Linked DNA regions of Elephas maximus indicus. The protein of the gene in region 1 purifies or fractionates together with the protein of each later gene. This does not show direct contact. Links are inferred from orthologs where the notes say so. Each region holds a gene or a part of one and is shown in the gene's direction. Other genes may lie near its edges.

The links. The genes of interacting proteins can lie anywhere in the genome.
Region 2: the proteins of TLE1 (region 1) and FOXG1 purify together in Homo sapiens (affinity purification with western blotting; 3 studies listed by BioGRID and IntAct, with this or other methods). This does not show direct contact. The link is inferred for Elephas maximus indicus from reciprocal best matches to the Homo sapiens genes TLE1 and FOXG1.
Region 3: the proteins of TLE1 (region 1) and HES1 purify together in Homo sapiens (affinity purification with western blotting; 4 studies listed by BioGRID and IntAct, with this or other methods). This does not show direct contact. The link is inferred for Elephas maximus indicus from reciprocal best matches to the Homo sapiens genes TLE1 and HES1.

Annotation. Positions count from the first base shown.
Region 1 is NC_064827.1:98,615,921-98,623,460, reverse strand, and holds the start of TLE1 (transducin-like enhancer protein 1), read left to right. Parts: upstream 1-4,436; 5' UTR 4,437-5,797; coding exon 5,798-5,821; intron 5,822-6,588; coding exon 6,589-6,689; intron 6,690-7,540. UniProt on the Homo sapiens protein: Transcriptional corepressor that binds to a number of transcription factors. Inhibits NF-kappa-B-regulated gene expression. Inhibits the transcriptional activation mediated by FOXA2, and by CTNNB1 and TCF family members in Wnt signaling.
Region 2 is NC_064828.1:41,100,584-41,106,889, forward strand, and holds FOXG1 (forkhead box protein G1), read left to right. Parts: upstream 1-4,140; 5' UTR 4,141-4,230; coding exon 4,231-5,706; 3' UTR 5,707-5,799; downstream 5,800-6,306. UniProt on the Homo sapiens protein: Transcription repression factor which plays an important role in the establishment of the regional subdivision of the developing brain and in the development of the telencephalon.
Region 3 is NC_064819.1:20,827,665-20,835,171, reverse strand, and holds HES1 (transcription factor HES-1), read left to right. Parts: upstream 1-4,500; 5' UTR 4,501-4,750; coding exon 4,751-4,858; intron 4,859-4,989; coding exon 4,990-5,085; intron 5,086-5,319; coding exon 5,320-5,407; intron 5,408-6,056; coding exon 6,057-6,604; 3' UTR 6,605-7,068; downstream 7,069-7,507. UniProt on the Homo sapiens protein: Transcriptional repressor of genes that require a bHLH protein for their transcription. May act as a negative regulator of myogenesis by inhibiting the functions of MYOD1 and ASH1.

The DNA of each region.
Region 1 (7,540 bases):
GGTTCGTGCCCCCCACCCACAAAGACAGCCAGGCTGTGGTTTCAGAAAGAGCACACATATCTATCTCTGTGTTTGGAAGTGCCTGTGTGGTCTCTTGTCCTAATTTATTTGCACTCCAATCCTCAGGGGATCGCACTGCAATCCCCGTAGGGCAAAGGGAGATTAGGGGATGGGGCTGTCTGCCTCTTCCCACCCTCACAGAGAAGGGAAAAAAACTTCCCCCAAGTCCCACAAGTTCTCCTGGCCACTGTACAAATTGTTCTTGAGCGTGGAGCATTTCCAAAAGACCTAATTAGCAACTCACAGCAAACATTTCTTTGCATTAGCTAATGATCCGGCTACACTTGTAAGCAAACAGAACCAACATATCTAATCAATGCTGAAAAACCAACCCAATGCCTATTAAACATCTGGATGTAATTTTCTACTTAGAACAAAATGAAAACACATGCAGGTTCCTTTGATCTGCGTCTTAACAAAGAAATTGTTGATAAAAAAAAGCATACTGGCCAGTCAATGTGTCATTTTCATAAAGTCTACTCATTTCTCTTCAAATGCTCCCAGTTCAATTTAGTTTAGGTTTCCTGCAATCTCTAATTTTACCATATTGTGTGAAACCACAAGAGATTCTTTGGATGTAATTTTATTTGAGGTTTTACTGCTTCATGGATCTGCTACTGATTTTTTTTTTCCTTTTTTGCCTTCTTTCTCTCCTTCTTTTCCTCTCCCTTGTTCTTTGGCAAAGAAGCGGGGAGAAAAAGGTTAAAAAGCAATGCTGGGAAAAGTGCTTATGGATCCTATATCCTTGGGTTTAAAGGAAACTTCCAGTTTTAAAAAAAAAAAAGGTCAAATATATAAAACTATAACTCAGCTAAAAGGAAAAAGATAATGACAAAGGTGGCTTTTCAAAGACTGGCACATTATTTATTTCAAATAAAACAGTAATTTAAAAGAAGATGAATAATTTCTATGATCAAATACCCACAATTTTTCCTGTTGTGTTTAGCACCTAGACTATCACCTAGTTTTGATAACTGCTTATTATTTATACTATCGATATAAGGTCCCTGGGTGGCAAAAACAGTTTGCACTCAACTACTAACCCAAAGGCTGGAAGTGCAAACTCGCCTGGTGGCACCACAGAAGAAAGGCCTGGAGATCTGCTTTTGTAATAATTCCAGCTAAGGAAACCCTATGGAGCAGTTCTATTGTGTGACACACGGGGTTGCCATGAGTCGGAATCTACTGGACGGCAAAGGATTTGTACCTCTGTGTTTTTGTTTATGCTACTGGTGAGTTGAAATGTTTGATACTCAGCAGCAAATGAATGGAAATATACCCATATACGCATCTATGATAAAATAAACTATCTGACAATCTTTCTGTGTCCTCTGCGGAAAATGAAAAAGTATACCGTTTTTTTCAGAGACAATTTCCTGTGAAAGTGGCATACTTGACATTATTTCATGTAAAATCATCATCAACATATGAATATGCTAAAGGTAAAGAAGATTATGGTTAACAGACTTTAAATAAAACCCAACCCAGTGACAGAAGACCAAAATTACAGATTTCATGAGTAGAACTATTTTCTTTTAAACAGACTGTAGGCAATCTACACATATATTATTCATTTAAAACATAAGATTAAAGCTACTTGATTGTTTAAACACCATCATTTGTGATGCAGTTTGATGAGAGTTTTGTAGTATAATTATTTCAGCATGACAATCACGGAGAAAATACGACCTTGAAAAGAGGCAGAGCCTTCTCCCTCTCAAGGAGGATGCTCTGTGTGAGAAAGCCACCGAAAACCAAGCATTTTTAAGCTACAAATGAAGGTCTTCTAATTTTAAAATCATTGTTCTTTCTTTTCTCCAAAAACTCCGTTTTAAGTAAATCAGAAGGCCTGGTGTTTTAAACTCCACTGGTAAGAAAGCACTAGTCAAAAGAGAAATCACAATTTTTACCCACGGCAAACAGTGAGTGAATAGCTATGATAGAAAACATTTAAGGACAACATGTCAGAACTGATTCTGAGGGGTGTGTGGTGGCGAGAGACGAGAAGGAGCAATACTTCTTGCTCCGGTCCCAAAATACACTTTTAATTTCTTTCTGTATGCTTAATTACTGGGATGTCAGCAAGTTCAGGTAGGTAAAACTGGGTACCAGGGAGATGTGTCAGCTACCACAGTTGTCCCAGCGCCTACAGGCATTTTCGTGGCACGCAAGCACCTTCCATCCAGTCCTGGAGCTGATTACGAGATGAGCTGACCGGACACTGGCGGATATGGCACCACCATTAGGAGATGATTTCAAGGAACACAGGTTGCCACAGGACAAAGCTTCACTGCCCACGGATCCCATGATTTTAAAAAGTTCTGTCTGTGGAGCAAGTCTGCTCTTCTCGTCACCAAATTTAACCATTAAAGGAGAGGCAGTGTTCCCTTCTCTTTCATACTCCATGTTAACTGTTAGCTAAAGAATAATATAACCTTCTCCCTCACCCCACTTAAAAAGAGTGCTGCAAAGCTACACTGCTGAACTTGTTTAAGCTATGGCCTATGCAGGCTGCCTAAAATCACTTTTATTTTTTCATTTACAATTGGTATTTAGGACTGATGCAATTATGGCTAAATCAGTATCAGTATTTTAAAACAAACGAACCAGTGAAATGTATTATCTAAAATGATTGGCTATTTCAAGAAAAAAAGTCTCTGTATATTTTTGAATAAAATCTATTTGTGTTTAGGTATGTGCCTTCCCACAAGTCTCTTAAAAGTAAAAAAAAAAAAAAAAAAAGGGAACTTGGGGTTATTAATACCCCAAATTTGTTAGGTTGTTAGGTTCTAACATAAGATGAATGCTTGTCAAAGATGGGTGTTTCTCATGAAAGCAGTCATTATTACTTGGATAAAACAGCATTATTCACTCATGGATCATGTGGAAATAGCTTATCTGAATTGTCCGTTAAAAGTGGAAACGTGACAACATTGAAGGTTTTCTGCCGTGTGGTGTATTTAGAGAAATAGAGAAAAACTGGAGACTCTTAATATTAATTATACAACATGCTCTATTTATTTAAAAATCTCAAAATCCATTTGTTCTGTAAATCTTTAAAGTACAATTTAAAAAAAGGCTAGGAAAAAAAAAATCTGAAAATCCCTTTTTAACTCAAGTTTCATCTCCTAAGAATTTTAGCCATGTCATTTATTCAGCTCTTTCCATTTAGCTCCTTATACAGCTCAGCCCGGGTACCATCCAAACTATGGGGGTGGGGTGGGCGGGACAGGTTTTTCAGGTCTCAGTGTTGGTTTATTCCATTGTCTCCCTTTGTTCCCAGGAATTGGAAACAGACTCGTGGTCATGTTGCTGCAAGGCTCCTAAAACTCTCGCCGCCCCCACCCCCCCCAACACACACACATAGCGAAATCTGGACTTTTAAGGCAAGGAACCGAGATTTCGCGCCCCGGGCAGAGCATCGCATCTACGCCTGGGACACGCGTGCCTTACCCTGGCGGCACCTTGGGGATCCTTCCCGCCAAACGAAGGCAGGTGAACCTTTTTGCAAAGTATTTGAAATCCTCCAATAAGAATCAAATTCTACAACTTTGGGTGCAAAGCCGAGTGGGCATCATGCGGCTGGTGTACCTACGCCAGTCAAAGCTTTGCCCATTATGCATTTTCCCCCAACTGCACAGTTCACCCTTCCTCGCGCATCCGTGAAAAGGCAGCTTTCCGGAAAAAAATACAAAAAACAAACAAACCGCAAAAATATTTGAATGTGACCTTTCACTTTCAAAAGAATGGCATCAAACAAGGGGCCAGCACCGAAAGACGTGTTTGGCTTGAAATATCAAAGAGTTCCCCTCTTCCCCCTCATAAGAAGCTACGCAGTTAGTCTCTGAGTTACTGAGATCTGAGGATTTTCATTGAAGGAAAAAGTGAACAAGTGGCAGGATTTTTGCTAAGTGGAGCCCCCAGCTTCCGCGACTGCACGCTCGCCGGTCCCTCCCGCTCGCGCGCGCTCGCGCGCTCCCTCGCTGGCCCCACGTTACTTTGATTGACAGCCCGGCCTCGCGGCTCTCCTTCCCACCGACCTTCCCATCCTCAGTGCCAATCTCCGCGTCTCGCCGCTTCCTATTGGCTGGCTCCAGAGTCCCGCGGCTCCTTCAGGAACACTTCCTCACCAAGCCCGGGAGGACGCGGCTGGCGGAGGAGGAGCGGGGGTGGGGGGAGACAGGAGAGACGGCGGAGATGGAAGCGAGTGGGGCGGCAGAGAAGGGGAGACGCGGGCTGCCCGTCCGGCGCTGCGCTGCCATAGGCTCCGGGAAGTCTCGACGTCAGCACCCCACGTTGGGCGCGGCGCGCGCGATTGGCTGACGCTGGTCTCTCCGCGGCCCCTCCTCGCTCGGGCCCGCGTCCCCCGCCGGCTCCGCGCTCGCGCCCCCGCCCGCGCGGGGCTGGGCGGGGCCGGCGCTGGTTAGCTCCGGAGTGTGAAACCGCGTGTTAATGTAACCGGCGCGAGAGGCGCGGGCGGCGGCGGCGGCTGCAGGAGCAGCAGCGTCGGGTACCCCGCGCCCCCGAGCCGGCCGACTGCGCCACCCCCACCGAGCGGGACCAGCGCCACCACTCCTGATCTCCGCCGCCCCGCGGCGACCAAACCCCGCCAACTGCCGCCGCCGCGGCTACTCCGGGCTCGCCCGCGGAGTTTGCCCGCCGAAGAGGGAGGCCGAGCGGCGCGCACTCTTGCTTTTCTCCCCGCTATCTCGTTGATGTCATCCCCGGGGTCGTGAGAGAACTTTGCAGCCGGCCGGAGCGCCGTTTGCGGAGGCGCAAGCGAAGAGAAGGAAAGAAAGAGGATCGAAGAAGGGGCTCGGAGGAACGGTCCGGAGCAGCCGTGCGGAGCGACTACGAGCAGGGCGCGGCGCCCGGATGCGCCTGGGGCTCGAGGAGCAGCGGACGGCTGCGGGGCTGCTCTCCGCGGAGTAGCCCCGTCGGGCCGGGAGGGTTTGTGCAAGCGCAGAGAACACCGAGTGCCGGGCGCACGGGGCGTGCCGAGCCTCCTCCCGGCGCACCCTCCGCACTTTCCCCGCCTCGGCGTCATCCCGCGCTCCCCGGGCTGTGCTGAGGCTGCGGAGCGCAGGGCGCGGAGCCTCCACCGCGCCCCCGGCGTCGTTCCACGCCGCCTCTAGGCAGCTAGCAAGCGCCCGGCCAACGGCGTAGCCAGTGGTCGGCTACGATAGTCTCTGGGTTTGTTTGTGTGGGGTAAGCCGGGGCGCCACCTGCACCTCGCCCGCCGCCGCCGCCGCGGGGAAAATCCAGAGAGGAGACGGACCAGGAGAAAAGCAAAGAAAAGCCACACGCCTGGATTTGTTTGCCCAGGACGGGCGCCGCGCGCTCGGATCGCCGAGGGGAGCGCGGCCGAAGTCGCCGAGCCCCCACCTCCCCGCCCCGGCAGTCGAGGCCCGAGGGTTGGAACGTGGGCCCTGTGCCTACTCTTCGGGCGCCAGCGTCGCCGCGCAGGTTCTTGGAGCTGCCGGGCCTAGGGGGCCCGTGATGTGGCCCTGAGCGCTCCCGGGAGCCCGCACCGGCGGGAGCAGGAGCAGCCGCTGGCGCCGAGTGGCCGGTGCGCCCCGCCGAGCGCGCCTGCTTGCGTGGCCAGGGCGCCCCCCGCCCCCTGCGTGTCCCGCTTCTGCCTGCCTTCTCGGCTTAATTTTTCTCGGCGGGATTAAAGTTGGAAATTGAGCGGAGAATTCAGTTGCCCGGGAACAGAGCCGCGGCCGCCGCCAGAGCTATGTTCCCGCAGAGCCGGCACCCGGTGAGGCGCGGCCCGGTGGGTGGGGGGGACGTTGGGGCAGGTTTGTGGGTGCGTGAGGCACTGTTCCTTTGCCATAGGGAAATGGGTAGTTGTTACAACCTAGCGAACCCCTCCACGGATTTGAGGCTAGGGAGGTCCCGGGCCGCCTCCTCAGCGTGGGGAGTGGGCTGAAACTCTTGGCCTCCTTCCACTTGTCTAGACTGGGCAGAGGGGGCGCCCAGGGAGGCTGGGGTTTCTCTCCCGCAGCCACATCCTCCCCCCTTCTCCGAGTTCGGTTGGGGGCGCCCCCCTTTGTTTCTGGTCTCGCTTATTTACATGTCAATGCGGCCCCCGTTCCGGCGCCCCCGGAGGTGGCCCCGACGACTCTGGGAACGGGGAGCGTAAGGGAGTTGTTTTTTTCCTGCGGTTACGGGGGTCGTTATCGCCCCTGTGGGGAAGAGGGACCAGGCACGGCGACGACAATTTGACCCGGTCCGCCCCGGCCTCCGGGAGCCCCCCTTGCTCGGCCATGTGACCTGGGGGCGCTTACCGCCAACCTTCCCGAAGGCTGGAAGAGACTCTGAGCCTCTTTAGAAGCTGGGGGCCAGGGAAGTGTCCTCTTTTCTCTCTCCAAAGTGAGTCGTAAAGTGCAGTTCGGGTTTTCGTTTTGGGCCATTTTTAACTTTATTATTATTGTTGTTTTTATGCCCCACTCACTCCTTGTTCTTACTGACTGCTTTATCTGCCCGCACCCCTATCTCTCCGTCCCCCTCGATGCTCGCCCTCAGACGCCGCACCAGGCTGCAGGCCAGCCCTTCAAGTTCACGATCCCGGAGTCATTGGACCGGATCAAGGAGGAATTCCAGTTCCTGCAGGCACAGTATCACAGGTGCGTGTCCGGCCGCGCCGTGCGAGTGGTTGTCGAGGAGTCCATCTGCAACGTCCCGGTGCCCCTCGCCCAGCCCGGTGGCGGCTGCTGTACTTAGTACGTGCGTCCAGGCGGTGGCGTGTGGAGTCGAAGTTAAGACCTGTCATTCACGTTTCCCCCTTTCCTGGCTCTTCCCAGGCCGCCTCTTCTCTTGTCTCCTCCTGCTTCCATTGTTTCCCTTTTGCCCGTTTGCTGCTGTTCCAGGGAGTCCTTTTTCGTGCATTTAGGAGTTGCATGAGAACCGTCAATATTTGCACTTCATTTAGTTATTTTGCAACAGGCTGAGCTAAAACGTTGATTCAATCGATGCCTTAGCCCTGGAGTGTGGGTTCATGGAGGCAAAGCCAGTGTTGAAATAACTGCTTGTCATACTAGGGAATTGGATTGTCTGAGGCAAAGTCCACCGTGGAAGGCTAGATGCTTTTAGCTGTGTCCATCATTGGCGTTGATTGGGACTGGGTGGGGGAGGGGGTAGTGTGTAGGAGAAAGCTCTCTGCTTTGGCATCTTTCTAAATAGGTTTGGGCAGGACAGGAGATTGGAGTCACACTTTTATATCCATCTCAGCTTTAGTTTTCTCATCTAAGGATACCTGCCTTGAAATGATTTATAAGTGAAAACTGTAAAGTATCTGGCCCATGGTGGACTTTACAGAAACGTTAGTTCCTCCTCTTACTCTTATGAAGTCTTAGCTGGTTGGAGCTACGAAATAACTGTCATGACAGTTTTTATTTTTTGTGGTACATGGAAAAGGCACACAGATGAAGCTAAGTGGCTTGGGTGTAAATTTTCTGATTTTTTTTTTTTTCCAGGG
Region 2 (6,306 bases), on another chromosome or scaffold:
GCTAAGCTCAGCTGCTCAGCTGGAGTTAGGGTTTCCTGGGCTTAGGAAAGAGGCCCGAGGTGGATGGGCAGGCCTTCAAATCCAATTTGTACCCAAATTGGCTGTTAGGATGTACAAAGCCCCATCCAGGGACTTTCAACTTGCACAATACTCTGTCCAAGAACTCCCTCCTTCCCCCCCCCACCCCATTTCAGCCAGTAGCAGTTCTAAAAGGAAGCCATTGCTGAGACAAACGTGGGCCCCTGAGTAAACACTGCATCTTTTGTTGAGCAAGCCTACCCCCATATATATATATATTTATATATATCACCCTATCTCCATATAAAATGCAATTAAAATTATTTGGAGGAATTCAAACCACTTCCCCAAAAGTTGCAAATGAATTTTGTCATTAGGGATAACAGTTCCTCATACAATTATCCAAGACTATATACTGCTTATTCCTACACCAATACCCTACTTGAGAGACTTGTATCCATGCAATCCTTAAAATAATATACTGCATTCTTAATTTGCATGAAAAACATTTTCCCAGTCCATATAAGCTCCTGGCATGCGAAATCAGATTATTACAGCTCTCATTAGCAGAACTCAGTTTTTGCTATCTGCAAGTAAACAGAAGAAAAACTTATTTTCACCTGCTAAAATTTTATGCAGGATCATAAAACAATGCACACTCAGCTTTGACCTAAGAAACACCTTAAAACATTAAAAATTCATCAGTCAGTGCGGGTGTTGCATTCAAGGAACGCTCCTCCAATTTGCTGCTGAGCTCGGATTTGAATAAAATGCCCAATGTTAACAAACAATACCCACGTTTGGCACTTTGTGTATTAAATTGATCAAACAGATTTTAGGAGGCACAATGCACAATTTGTACAGACCTGATTGAGTTAATATAATATCAGCAAATTTTACATCGAAATGATTCTGTTTCTTTTCTTTGTGTTTAAAACCAGCACAGATTACAAATTTTAATGATCTGAAAATGTTTGGTATACAAAATCATGCTTATTTCAGTATTAGCAAAAACACAAGAAATTTTTCAACACAAACACCCAGCTGTGTCTATTTTAAAAGCAGTTCAATGACAGCTTGCACTTATGAGCATGCAATCAGCTAATTTCGCTTTTTTTTTTCTTCTGTGTTAATCAACACTTTCCTTCCTGCATATCAGAGTACAAATAGTATAGTTACTCCACAGCAGTAAATGTTTACGTAACCTGTCCTTTCCCAAGAATCCGGTTACACCGAATCATTTCACGCTAGACCGACTACGAAAACGTACCGGGCCGTCCACCTCAGAGGGAGCCCTGTGTGCCATTATAAGTGATGGTGAGCAGGGGGGCTCTGGGGGGAGACTTGGGGAGGAGTAGATGGAGGAATGGAGGGAGAGGGACAGGAATGGAGGGAGGGAGAAGGGGTGGGGGAAATGAGGGAGGAAAGGGGGAGGAGTGAGGTGGGAGGAAAGAGAGTTGAGCAAAAGTAGGAAGAACAGGCCTGAGGAGCTGAGAAGAGTGGGAGGAGGAGAGTTGAGCAGGGAGAGGTAGGCCCATACATCTCTCCAGCCCTTTAGCTCACGGGGCTCTAGGAGAAATCCTGAACTTGGGATCAATGTTTGGGGCCATGTCACTATCAACATTGATTGCCAGAATCCTTGAATTGTTCCATACGTAAATACAGTTTAAGTTAAAGAAATGTGTAGACATTTAAAACATACATAAACACAGTGGAAGGTTATTTGAAGGTAGTCCAATATTCAGAGCTCCTTTATGGCATTCCTAACACATACATATTTAAAAATCACTAGCCATTTGTAATTGTCTGTTATTCCTTCTGGGGTCAACTCTCTTAGAATTTCATGGTGTGGGGGTCGGGAGAGTGGAATAACCCCCTATTAACCTGAATATTCATCAATTGCATTCCTAGTTCAATTAGAATTGAACTTTAATTTCAACCATCACGCATAAACACCACTCTTTTTTCCTCATTTTTCTTAAATGTCTTAACTGCCATTTAATTTAACGGAGGGTTTATTCTCAAAGTGAAGAAACGCTTACATTTATGACGACTATTTACCTTACAAAGGAGGGAAAAGGTGTTCATTTATGCTTCACCTCCCTCTTCTCTTGGGCTACATCCTCCATAAAATGTGGTGTTTCGTGTTCATGTGGGATGAACAGCCTTTGATCAGTGTGCTCCGCACCAGATTCCAATCCCTGGGAAATGCAGGGCCTTAGCCCTGCCCCTGGCCACGGGATCCTTTTAAAGCCCCCGAATCGCAATCTCCCCAGTCACTTCAGCCTTCAACCAAACCCTCCCAGCCCCAAAGCCCAGGAAGCTGGGATCCTGGGACCCACGTTCCCATGGCTCCTAGGAGCCTCCCAGCAGCACCGGGAGTGGGAAGAGACTGGTTTCTGGATGCGGTTATTTCAGGATTGAGGCCCGCGCAAAATAAAAGCATTTGAGAAACGGGAAGAAAGAAAGAGGGAGTGGAAAATAGGAAGGCTTTAAAAACAAAACAAAAAAGGAAACAGACGCCCACCCCTATATTCCCTCCTATGTCAACAAGCAAAAAGAAAACATTTCCTGGGTAATCGCTCGCGGCTACTCGCTTCCAATTCGGATTAGAAGCGGAGGAGAAGCTGGAGCAGCGAGGAGAAAAGGACACCGAGCCACCCCGCGCGTGAGCGACGGTCTGGAGCAGGAGAGAAAGAAAGGGAAGGAAGAGACACACAGAGCATGTGTTACCTGGTTTATTTCGAGACTGTTTGGTTTTGTTTTCTTTCTGGGCACCCCTCATTTCCGAAGGCCATCAGAGGTGCCCACTACTGAGCCGCCCCCGCCCGCCGCCGCCGCGCCCGGAGCCCCGGGCCCTGCTTCCCCGCGGCGCCCGAGCCCGAGCTCGCCGCCGCCCGGGCCGCGGGAACCGAGTAAGTAACCCCCGCTTGGCCCCGCGCTCGCCTGCCCACTTCCTCCTCCTCCTCCCCGGCCCGCCGCTCCCAAACCTCTCCCGACCCTCCTCCCCCGAGGTGAAGGGCCCCCGCCCCCACGCCAGGGCTGGGCCCGCCCTCCCCCGCCACCCACGGCCTCGCTCGAGCGTCACCTACAAGGGGCACAATTGTCCTACGGGCCCGGAGATGCCAGCCCCGGGCCAGCGGGGCAGACTCCGGAGAGGGGTGCCTCCCCTCTTCCTGCTCCATTTCCTGCCCTCTCCTTGCATCCTCTCCCCTTCCTCCCACTGTCCATTCCCTCGCCCACGCCCCCCGGCTTTTAAAAAATAAAACTGGATACAAACTTTAATCAATAAGGACAAATATTGACGCTCCAAGGAAAAGGAACCAATACAGTGAGGAGGCCGGACATGTGAGAGATTTGCCCTAAGAGGGGAATTTCGGCTGAACAGCGCCGGCGGGGTGCGGGGCCGCAGGGCGCTCGGGCAAGGGCCGCGGCGCGGCGTGCTCCCGCCGCCGTATCCCTGCGCGGCTCGGTGAGGCCGCGAGGTCCCAGGCCCGCCGAGAGGGGGAGCCGAGCGCCCGAGGGGGCGGGAGCCGGCGGGCGGGGCGGGGGGGCGGGCCCGCCGATTGGTCGACAGCGAGACAGACGCTCCCGCACGCCGCCGGCTCTGATTGGCCCAGCGGTAGGAAAGGTTAAACCAAAAATTTTTTTACAGCCCTAGTGTGCGCCTGTAGCTCTGCAAATTAATTGTGGCTATAGCCGCCTCGATCGCTGTCTCCCCAGCCTCGCGGCGGCCGCTCCGGGACGCGCCCGCCCGCAGCCCGGCTCTCCCCCCCTTTGGGCTGCTGCTGCTGCTGCTGCTGCTGCTGCTGCTGTGACTGCTGCTGCGAGAGGAGGAGGAGGAGGAGGAGGAGGAGGAAGCAGCAGAGGGGGGGAGAGCGGGGGGTGGGGGGGAGACCATGAAGTAGAGTTGGGAGCGAGGGATCTTCACCCCCGGGGCGGTGGTTGTTTCTTTTTTCTCTTTCTTTCTTTTTTTCTCCCCCCCCCCTTTTTTTTTCTAATTCCTGAGGGGTGGTTGCTGCTTTTGCTACATGACTTGCCAGCGCCCGAGCCTGCGGTCCAACTGCGCTGCTGCCGGAGCGCTCAGTGCCGCCGCCGCCGCCCGCGCCGCCCGCGCCCCGCTCGGCACCCACCGGTCACCGCCGCCCGACGCGCCGCCGCTGCCCCGCTCCCGCGCCGCCGCCGCCGCCGTTTCCCCCCGACGACTGGGTGATGCTGGACATGGGAGATAGGAAAGAGGTGAAAATGATCCCCAAGTCTTCGTTCAGCATCAACAGCCTGGTGCCCGAGGCGGTCCAGAACGACAACCACCACGCCAGCCACGGCCACCACAACAGCCACCACCCCCCGCACCACCACCACCACCACCACCACCACCACCACCCGCCGCCGCCCGCCCCGCAACCGCCGCCGCCGCCGCCGCAGCAGCAGCCGCCGCCGCCCCCGGCGCCGCAGCCCCCCCAGGCGCGGGGCGCCCCGGCCGCCGCCGCCGACGACGACAAGGGCCCTCAGCAGCTGCTGCTCCCGCCGCCGCCGCCGCCGCCGCCCCCGCCGGCCGCCGCCCTGGACGGAGCCAAAGCGGACGGGCTGGGCGGCAAGGGCGAGCCGGGCGGCGGGCCCGGGGAGCTGGCGCCCGTCGGGCCGGACGAGAAGGAGAAGGGCGCCGGCGGCGGGGGGGAGGAGAAGAAGGGGGCGGGCGAGGGCGGCAAGGACGGGGAGGGGGGCAAGGAGGGCGAGAAGAAGAACGGCAAGTACGAGAAGCCGCCGTTCAGCTACAACGCGCTCATCATGATGGCCATCCGGCAGAGCCCCGAGAAGCGGCTGACGCTCAACGGCATCTACGAGTTCATCATGAAGAACTTCCCCTACTATCGCGAGAACAAGCAGGGCTGGCAGAACTCCATCCGCCACAACCTGTCCCTCAACAAGTGCTTCGTCAAGGTGCCGCGCCACTACGACGACCCGGGCAAGGGCAACTACTGGATGCTGGACCCGTCGAGCGACGACGTGTTCATCGGCGGCACGACGGGCAAGCTGCGGCGCCGCTCCACCACGTCGCGGGCCAAGCTGGCCTTCAAGCGCGGGGCGCGCCTCACCTCCACCGGCCTCACCTTCATGGACCGCGCCGGCTCCCTCTACTGGCCCATGTCGCCCTTCCTGTCCCTGCACCACCCCCGCGCCAGCAGCACTTTGAGTTACAATGGCACCACGTCGGCCTATCCCAGCCACCCCATGCCCTACAGCTCCGTGTTGACTCAGAACTCGCTGGGCAACAACCACTCCTTCTCCACGGCCAACGGCCTGAGCGTGGACCGGCTGGTCAACGGGGAGATCCCGTACGCCACGCACCACCTGACGGCCGCCGCGCTCGCCGCCTCGGTGCCCTGCGGCCTGTCGGTGCCCTGCTCCGGGACCTACTCCCTCAACCCCTGCTCGGTCAACCTGCTTGCGGGCCAGACCAGTTACTTTTTCCCCCACGTCCCGCACCCGTCAATGACTTCGCAGAGCAGCACATCCATGAGCGCCCGGGCCGCGTCCTCCTCCACGTCGCCGCAGGCCCCCTCGACCCTGCCCTGTGAGTCTTTAAGACCCTCTTTGCCAAGTTTCACGACGGGACTGTCTGGAGGACTGTCTGATTATTTCACACATCAAAATCAGGGGTCTTCTTCCAACCCTTTAATACATTAACATCCCTGGGACCAGACTGTAAGTGAACGTTTTACACACATTTGCATTGTAAATGATAATTAAAAAATAAGTCCAGGTATTTTTTATTAAGCCCGCCCCACCCCCACCCCCACCCCATTTCTGTACGTTTGTTCAGTCTTTAGGGTTGTTTATTATTCTAACAAGGTGTGGAGTGTCAGCGAGGTGCAATGTGGGGAGAATACATTGTAGAATATAATAAGGTTTGGAAGTCAAAATTACAGTAGAATGTGTATCTAAATAGTGACTGCTTTGCCATTTCATTCAAACCTGACAAGTCTATCTCGAAGCCGCCAGATTTCCATGTGTGCAGTATTATAAGTTATCATGGATCTATATGGTGGATGCAGACCTTGAGAACAACCTAAATTATGGGGAGAGTTTTAAAAATGTTAAACTGTAATTTGTATTTAAGAAGCATTCGTAGTAAAGGTGCCCAAGAAATTATTTTGGCCATTTATTGTTTTGTCCTTTTCTTTAAAGAGCTGTTTTTTTTTTTTTTTTTTTTTTTACTTTTAGACCAAAGATTGGGTTCTAGAAAATGCACTCGGTATACTAAGTATTAAAAAAAAAATAAAACCA
Region 3 (7,507 bases), on another chromosome or scaffold:
AAACACACAGGAAAAGCCCACTTTTTTCCAATGTAGCAGAGAGTTTTCACTGCCACTTTTCCATCTGTTTAAAACAGGAAGAAAAAGTCCTACCCCCATGGCCCCAGGATGCAGGTCAACAAAGGGGGCATTGTTCATCATTTCTTCAGAACATGATAGGGCACAACCCACTCTGCAGCGTGTGAAGAAAAAACAAAAAATCCCCGAGAGTTGCCCAAGGGGCAAGAGTGAGTAAACCAAGCCTGTGATGAGGTAAAGACTTGGCTGCAGACTTGAAGGCTCTCCTGGAAGGTGGAAATGAGGTCTGGAAGGTAAATACAGTCAGAACCACAATGATTCCTTATTTATACGCTGGGGTTGTAGGGGAACTGGAAACCTGCTGTTAAAGGGAAGGCAGGTTTCTGCGGACCTCGGATCACTGGGCAATGCAGTCAACGCCCAGGTGAGCTGGTTCTAGGCAGGTGCTTCCGGATCAGAGTCATCTGCCTCTTAGGAACTGCTGGCAACTCCTAAACGGCCTTCCTGCCTCCAAACCCTGCACTCCGCTTTCCACACTTCTGCTGGAGCCATCCTTCTGAACAAGAATCCTGATGCCCCTTCTCTGCTCAGGACAGCTCTCCATCATTTAAAGATAAGGTCCAAAGTCTTTTAGTGAGGAGTAAGTGTCCTGAGACATGGCCTCAAACCTTCTCCTCCAGCCCCTTGTTATACTCCTGCCTATGATACAGCCCGGGCTCCAGACCACATTCCCTGAATACCAAAAACCAAACCAAACCCACTGCCATCAAGTCGATTCCGAATCATAGCTACCATACAGGAGAGTAGAACTGCCCCATAGGGTTTCCAAGACCAGAATCTTCATGGAAGCAGACTGCCACATCTTTCTCTAGTGGAGCAGCTGGTAGGTTAAAACTGCAGGCCTTTTGGTTAGCAGCTCAGAGCTTAACCACTGCGCCACCAGGTCCTTGTTCCGTGAATAAAGACCTCAAATCCAGGGTCTGGGCCTTATTGCCATTGGCACTTCCATCCTCCCCAACCCTATGACTCACCACTACTTATTTTCCTATCCTATCCATTTCCCACATCTACCTGTTTTCCAAGGTGTAAAGCAAGGCCATCTCCTACAGGAAGTTTTCCAAGACAGCCAAAAAAAAAAAAGAAACCCACTGTCTTCGAGTTGATTCTCATAGTGACCCTATAGGACAGAGGAGAACTGCCCCATTGGGTGTCCAAGGAGCAGCTGGTGGATTCGAATTGCTGACCTTTTGGTTAGTAGCTGAGCTCTTAACTACCGTCCCAATCAGGGCTCCAAAGATATCCAAAGTTATGACCAATTTAATTCTCCTGAATCTTCATAGTATTTTACCTCTATTTCAGCATATAACTCTCTTGAACCTCGGATCTACCAGATGCACACCCTGGAAAATCAATAGATATCAGCTGCATGCATGAATATACGTTTATACGTTGTTGCTAGGTGCCCTCGAGTCAACTTCCACTCAGAGCAACCTCCCCATGTGACAGAGTAGAACTGTCCCACAGGCTTTTTTGGGCTGGGATCTTTATGGAAGCGGATCACCAAGTCTTTCTCCTGAGAAGCCACTGGCTGGGTTCCAACCACCAACCTTTCTCTGTGCAAAATGTTTAACCCTTTGTGCCACGAGGGCTCTTTATATGCGTTTATATATATACGCGTATATATATGTGTGTACACGACTACGTCTGCCAGGCTGTGGGTTTCCTGAGGGCAAGAGCTGTCAATAACTCGTATTCGTGCCTGTATCCCCCCAAAATACAGCAACAATATTGTTATTCATACAGGTGTGGTTTGGTGCTTCTTTTAGGTTCTCCTGGTCTCCCAAGAAGTCCCTGAGTGGTGCAAATGGTTTGTTGTCCACTAATAACCTAAAGATTGGTGGTCTGAATCTACCTAGCAGCACCACAGAAGACAGGCCTGGTAATCTGCAAGAAAATCCTATGGAACACAGTTCTACTCTCTAACACATGAGGTCGCCATAAGTAGGAATTGACTCCATGGCAACAGGCTTGGTCTCTCCAATGAACAAAAGCTCGAGTCCCCACTCAGAAAACCAGGGTCGGTCTGTTTCCGAAGTTGACTGTAAACTCCTTGCGGGTTGCCACCGTATAATCCCAGGGTTTAACACGGTGTGTGGCACAGAGCGTGTGCTCCCTCCACTACGAAAGAGAAGGGCTTGCCCAAGGTCACCCAGACTCAGGAACCGCCGAATCTCACCCGGGAGGAGATCTGGTGAAACCATTCACAACATTATCTCAGTGGGGAGCTCGGAGGAAGGAAGGAATGAAGTGTCTGAGCAATGCATGCCAGGCCTCCGGCGGCCTCGGGGCTGGGGGAAGGGCTGGGAGGGCGGGGGGCGACTTCCAACAGGACGCTCGGCTCCCCCGCAGCCGAGGGAGCCGCGCGCCGACTGCCCGGGCGCCGGGAAGTGCGGACCGGGCCGGGGGCGCGGGGCCCGGCGACCCGGGCAGACGGGCGGGAGAGACGCAGGGGTGGCTGCCGGCCGCTCGGCCGGGGCAGTGCGCGCCGCCCGCCCCGCGCGGCAAATCCCCCAGGGAGGCCGCCGCCAGAGCCCTGGCGCTCCCGGCCCGGCGCCCGCCACGTGGCACCCGGCGGCGGCGGCGGCGGCTCCTCCCGGCGCGCGGCCCAGCCAGCCGGCAGCACGCAGCCGCCCGCGCCGCCCGCCTCCTCCCGGCCGCCCGCCGGCGGCCTCCCGGGCGCAGCGAGGGGGAGCCGCCCGCCCGGCGGCCCTGGGCCGGGGGAAGGGGCGGACGGCGCGAAGCCGCTTTAACCGCAGCCGCCGAGGGGAGGCAAGAAGCTGACCCGGCCGCTTCCTAAGTGCGGTCAGGCATCCCGTGACCGCGGCGGGCGCCGGGGGCCCCGCGGGCGGAGGGGGCAGGGCCGGGCGAGGAGCAAAGCGGGAGGCCCCCGCCCCTCCCGCGGGCTGTTGCGAGTGCGGCTTTCGGCCGGGTTAAAACCCCAAGCCCGAAACTGGGGTGAAGGGTGGACGGGGGGGCTGGATAATTCCCCCTCTCCGTGACGGGGCGTGCGCTCCCCGTCCGGAAGGGCTGACCTTGGCCGGGAAGGGGGTGGGGGAACAAGCGCCGGGGCTCAGCTCCCAGCCCGCCGCCCCCTCGGATTCCAGGCCCGGCGGGGGCTGGAGGAGGGGGCCCCCGGACACACACACACACACACACACACCCCACACGCAGCGCGCGCCAATGAGCCCGGGCCAGGCACAGGGGGCGGGGTTTTCCCAGGCTCGAGCACAGCAGCTGCTATTTACCTTCTTGGCTTCTCCCAGGGACCAGGAACCAGCCCCCGCGCTCGGCCGCCCGCCGCCGCCCCCCGCCGCCCCCCGCCTCCCTGCCCCCGGGGCGCGCGCGCGCGCACACACACACACACACACACGTACGCACGCACACACACATCCTCCCGGCTCGGCCGCAGCCGCGGCGGCAATAAAACATCCTGGCACGTGCTCCGGCTCCAGGCGCGCCCTCGCCGGCCGGCTGATGTCAAACTGCAGCTCGGCTGGTGCAACTCTTAAAGGGCCCGCGCGCGCCGGGAGCCAAGGACTGCCCCAGCCGCCCGCGGGGTGGGAAGGAGAGAGGCGCTGCAGCCGGGTCTGCCACCTCTATTTGCTGCAGAACCGAGAGCCAGCGGGTGGGAAGGGAAAGGGTGGCGAGGAGGCGCGTGAGTCTCTGCCATCAACCCCCCCCCCCTTGTTCATCTTTCATTTGAAATTCCATTTCCTTTCTGCCCAGTTGGAAATTTATTCTGATTGTTTCGTAGGAAAGCATGGGGTTCGAGGGCCCAACCCCAGGAGAATAATTGGGGACGGGATGGGGGGGCATTAAAGAACTGCCTTGTTCGGAAAAAACTTGTGTAAGGTGGAAGGCATTTTTTCTTTTTTCTGCATGCAAATGCCGGCTTCACACTGGATTGGCTTTCACCTCCCCCCCCGAATGTATAGAGAAGTCTGAGCGGGAAATCCCTTAGATGTTTCAGTAATTCACACCCGTACACGCGTTCCCCCTTTTAACTGCTGCTAGTAATTTTTATCTCTGCTTTTCAAAAAATACTTTTTAAATAAGCTTCTTATACAGTGGAAGAAGCTCTATTAAACATAGAAAAGAGAAATAATAGAGCAAAGACCCTAGCACCAAAAGAAATAGACTAGACCAAAGCCAGTGCGGAAAAATGTTTAATGCAAAGCTTGGCGGCGAGAGTACCAAAGGGTTAAAATCCTTTTGATTGACGTTGTAGCCTCTGGTGCCCCGGGCTCAGGCGCGCGCCATTGGTCGCCAGGCCTTGCGCCTCGCGGCCAATGGGGGGGCGCGGTCCACGAGCGGTGCCGCGTGTCTCCTCCTCCCATTGGCTGAAAGTTACTGTGGGAAAGAAAGTTTGGGAAGTTTCACACGAGCCGTTCGCGTGCAGTCCCAGATATATATAGAGGCCGCCAGGGCTGAGTGGGATCACACAGGATCCGGAGCTGGTGCTGATAACAGCGGAATTCCCCCTTTACCTCTCTCCTTGGTCCTGGAATAACTCTACTGCTCACCAAGTAGCCATAAAATATTAAAATAAACCCTCAGCATTTGTTCAGTAGTTTTGTGAAAGTCTCAAATAAAAGAGACATAAACAAAGAATTTTATGTGAAGGAGTCAAAATATATAATTCTCTAGGGATTTAAAAAAAACAAAAACGAAAATGCCAGCTGATATAATGGAGAAAAATTCCTCGTCCCCGGTGGCTGCCACCCCAGCCAGTGTCAACACGACACCGGATAAACCAAAGACAGCATCTGAGCACAGAAAGGTAAGACCAGTACCCGTATCTCTCCGGAGCCCCAAGAAATGGGTTGATGAGGGGACCCTTCTCCCTTAAAATTTCGGGGTGAAAAGGCAGTTCCCTTGGGAACTCAGGTTTTGTTTTTTATTTTTTTGCAGTCATCAAAGCCTATCATGGAGAAAAGACGAAGAGCAAGAATAAATGAAAGTCTGAGCCAGCTGAAAACACTCATTTTGGATGCTCTTAAGAAAGACGTAAGTGAGGAAATGCTGCTTTTATTTCTTTTTTTTTTAATTAAAAAACATATACTATTTCTCAGCGGCTGAGAATGAAACCCGCTTGCCGGCGGGATCTTCTCCGCCAACGCTGCGTTCTCCGAGGCGGGAGAGCAGGGTCGGGGATATTGGCGCGGTGGCAGTGGGTGGGACTCCAGCCTCCGAGGCCGCTGGCAGGGGTCTCACTTTCCTCCCCTCGCCTCCTCTGTGCAGAGTTCGCGGCATTCCAAGCTCGAGAAGGCGGACATCCTGGAAATGACAGTGAAGCACCTCCGGAACCTGCAGCGGGCGCAGATGACGGGTGAGGGCGGCTTGCCGCGTCCCCTCTGCAGGCGTCCCTCTGGTCCCGCGGTGATTTCTTCCAGACTTCCGCCCGCGGTTGTGAGAGGCATTCAGCTACATTTTACTGCCTTGGCTCAGGCTAGCGTTCCCACGGTCTGGGGCTTATTTATAGCCACAACTCCCAAGTTGTTACTGTTCGGAAAAGGGAGGGAGGTAGAGAGGTTACAGCCGTGAGGGTGGCGGGCGGCTCGGGTGTAGGGGAAGCTGGTGGGGGCGGGAGGATTTAGGACCGCAGCGGTTTTGAGCTGCACGGAGTCTGGGAGCCTTCTGGTTTAGCACCCTCCCTTCCCCAATTTACAGATGGGGAAATGAGGCTCGGGTGACGGAGGGGCGCATTGTCCAAGGTCACTCCACGCGCGCGAGGGAGGGGGCAGATCTGGGACTGCGGTGCGTTTAAATGGAGCAAAAGGGAGTGGAGAGAGAGACTCTGCTTTAATCGCCTCGCCTGTGTGGCGAGGTGACTGGTTTTTCTAAATCCACCCCCAGCCAGAGGCAGTTCCGCGGGCCCGCGGTCAGGGAGGCGCGCCGCGGGGACCTCCCAGGGCGGGAGGAGGTGGCTCCGGGGCTGGGGCCGTTCGGTGACCCGCCTGTCTCCTTCTGACCCGCAGCCGCGCTAAGCACAGACCCGAGCGTATTGGGGAAGTACCGCGCCGGCTTCAGTGAGTGCATGAACGAGGTGACCCGCTTCCTGTCCACGTGCGAGGGCGTTAACACCGAGGTGCGCACCCGGCTGCTCGGCCACCTGGCCAACTGCATGACCCAGATCAACGCCATGACCTACCCCGGGCAGCCGCACCCCGCCTTGCAGGCGCCGCCGCCGCCCCCGCCAGGCCCCGGGGGCCCCCAGCACGCGCCATTCGCGCCGCCGCCGCTAGTGCCCATCCCCGGGGGTGCGGCGCCCCCTCCCGGCGGCGCTCCCTGCAAGCTGGGAAGCCCGGCCGGCGAGGCGGCCAAGGTATTCGGCGGCTTCCAGGTTGTGCCGGCTCCTGACGGCCAGTTTGCTTTCCTCATCCCCAACGGGGCCTTTGCTCACAGCGGCCCGGTCATCCCCGTCTACACGAGCAACAGCGGGACCTCCGTGGGCCCCAATGCAGTGTCGCCTTCCAGCGGCCCCTCGCTCACGGCCGACTCCATGTGGAGGCCGTGGCGGAACTGAGCGGCTCAGACCACCCCTCCCCCTAAACTCCCCAACCCACCTTTTTTCCCTCCGGACACTAAACAGGGACTTGGACCTTGGGAGAGAAGACGACTTTCATGATTAAGTGGTTACTTCGGTTTTTTAATTTCTAAAAGGTTACTTTTTTGTAGAGAGCTGTTTTAAGTGGCTGACCATGCACTATATTTGTATATATTTTATATGTTCATATTGGATTGCGCCTTTGTATTATAAAAGTTAAGATGACATTTCGTTTTTTACACGAGATTTCTTTTTTATGTGATGCCAAAGATGTTTGAAGATGCTCTTAAAATGTCTTCCTTTTGGGAAGTTTATTTGAGAAAATATAATAAAAGAAAAAAGAGTGCAGGTTTTTTTGTCTTAGAATTGACTATTTCAGAATATGTAAAGAGGCCCTAGGCAGAATTTGAATTACATGTAATCTGGGGTTTTTTCTTAATGTAATCGGCTCTTTTGTTATTAAAAACAACTTTTTATAAAAATCTTATCAAACCTCTTACCAATCCTCCATGAGCTAGAAGACTCAATTCCACTGAATTTACAAGAACTCACGAGATATGGCTTCTCTGATCAATTCGTGGTTTCTTCAAGGATATACATTTTTTAAAAGTTGCAGTTGAGCAAGTCAGTTCAGCCCTGGCTCTCACACTAGCTCCTTCTGAGGAAGGCTAAGTGCCACTGAGTTCATGGTCCACTGCACGTTAAGGGTGGCACCTGGTGGCGCAGTGGCTAAGAACTCAGGCTCCTAATCAAAAGGTAGGCGTTTGGAATCCATCAGCCACTCCTTGGAAACCCTGTGGGGCAATTGTACTCGGTCCTAAAGGGTCGCTGTCAGAACCGACTCCATGGCAATGGGTCTGCAGCGCTACTGCCTCGGGTAGC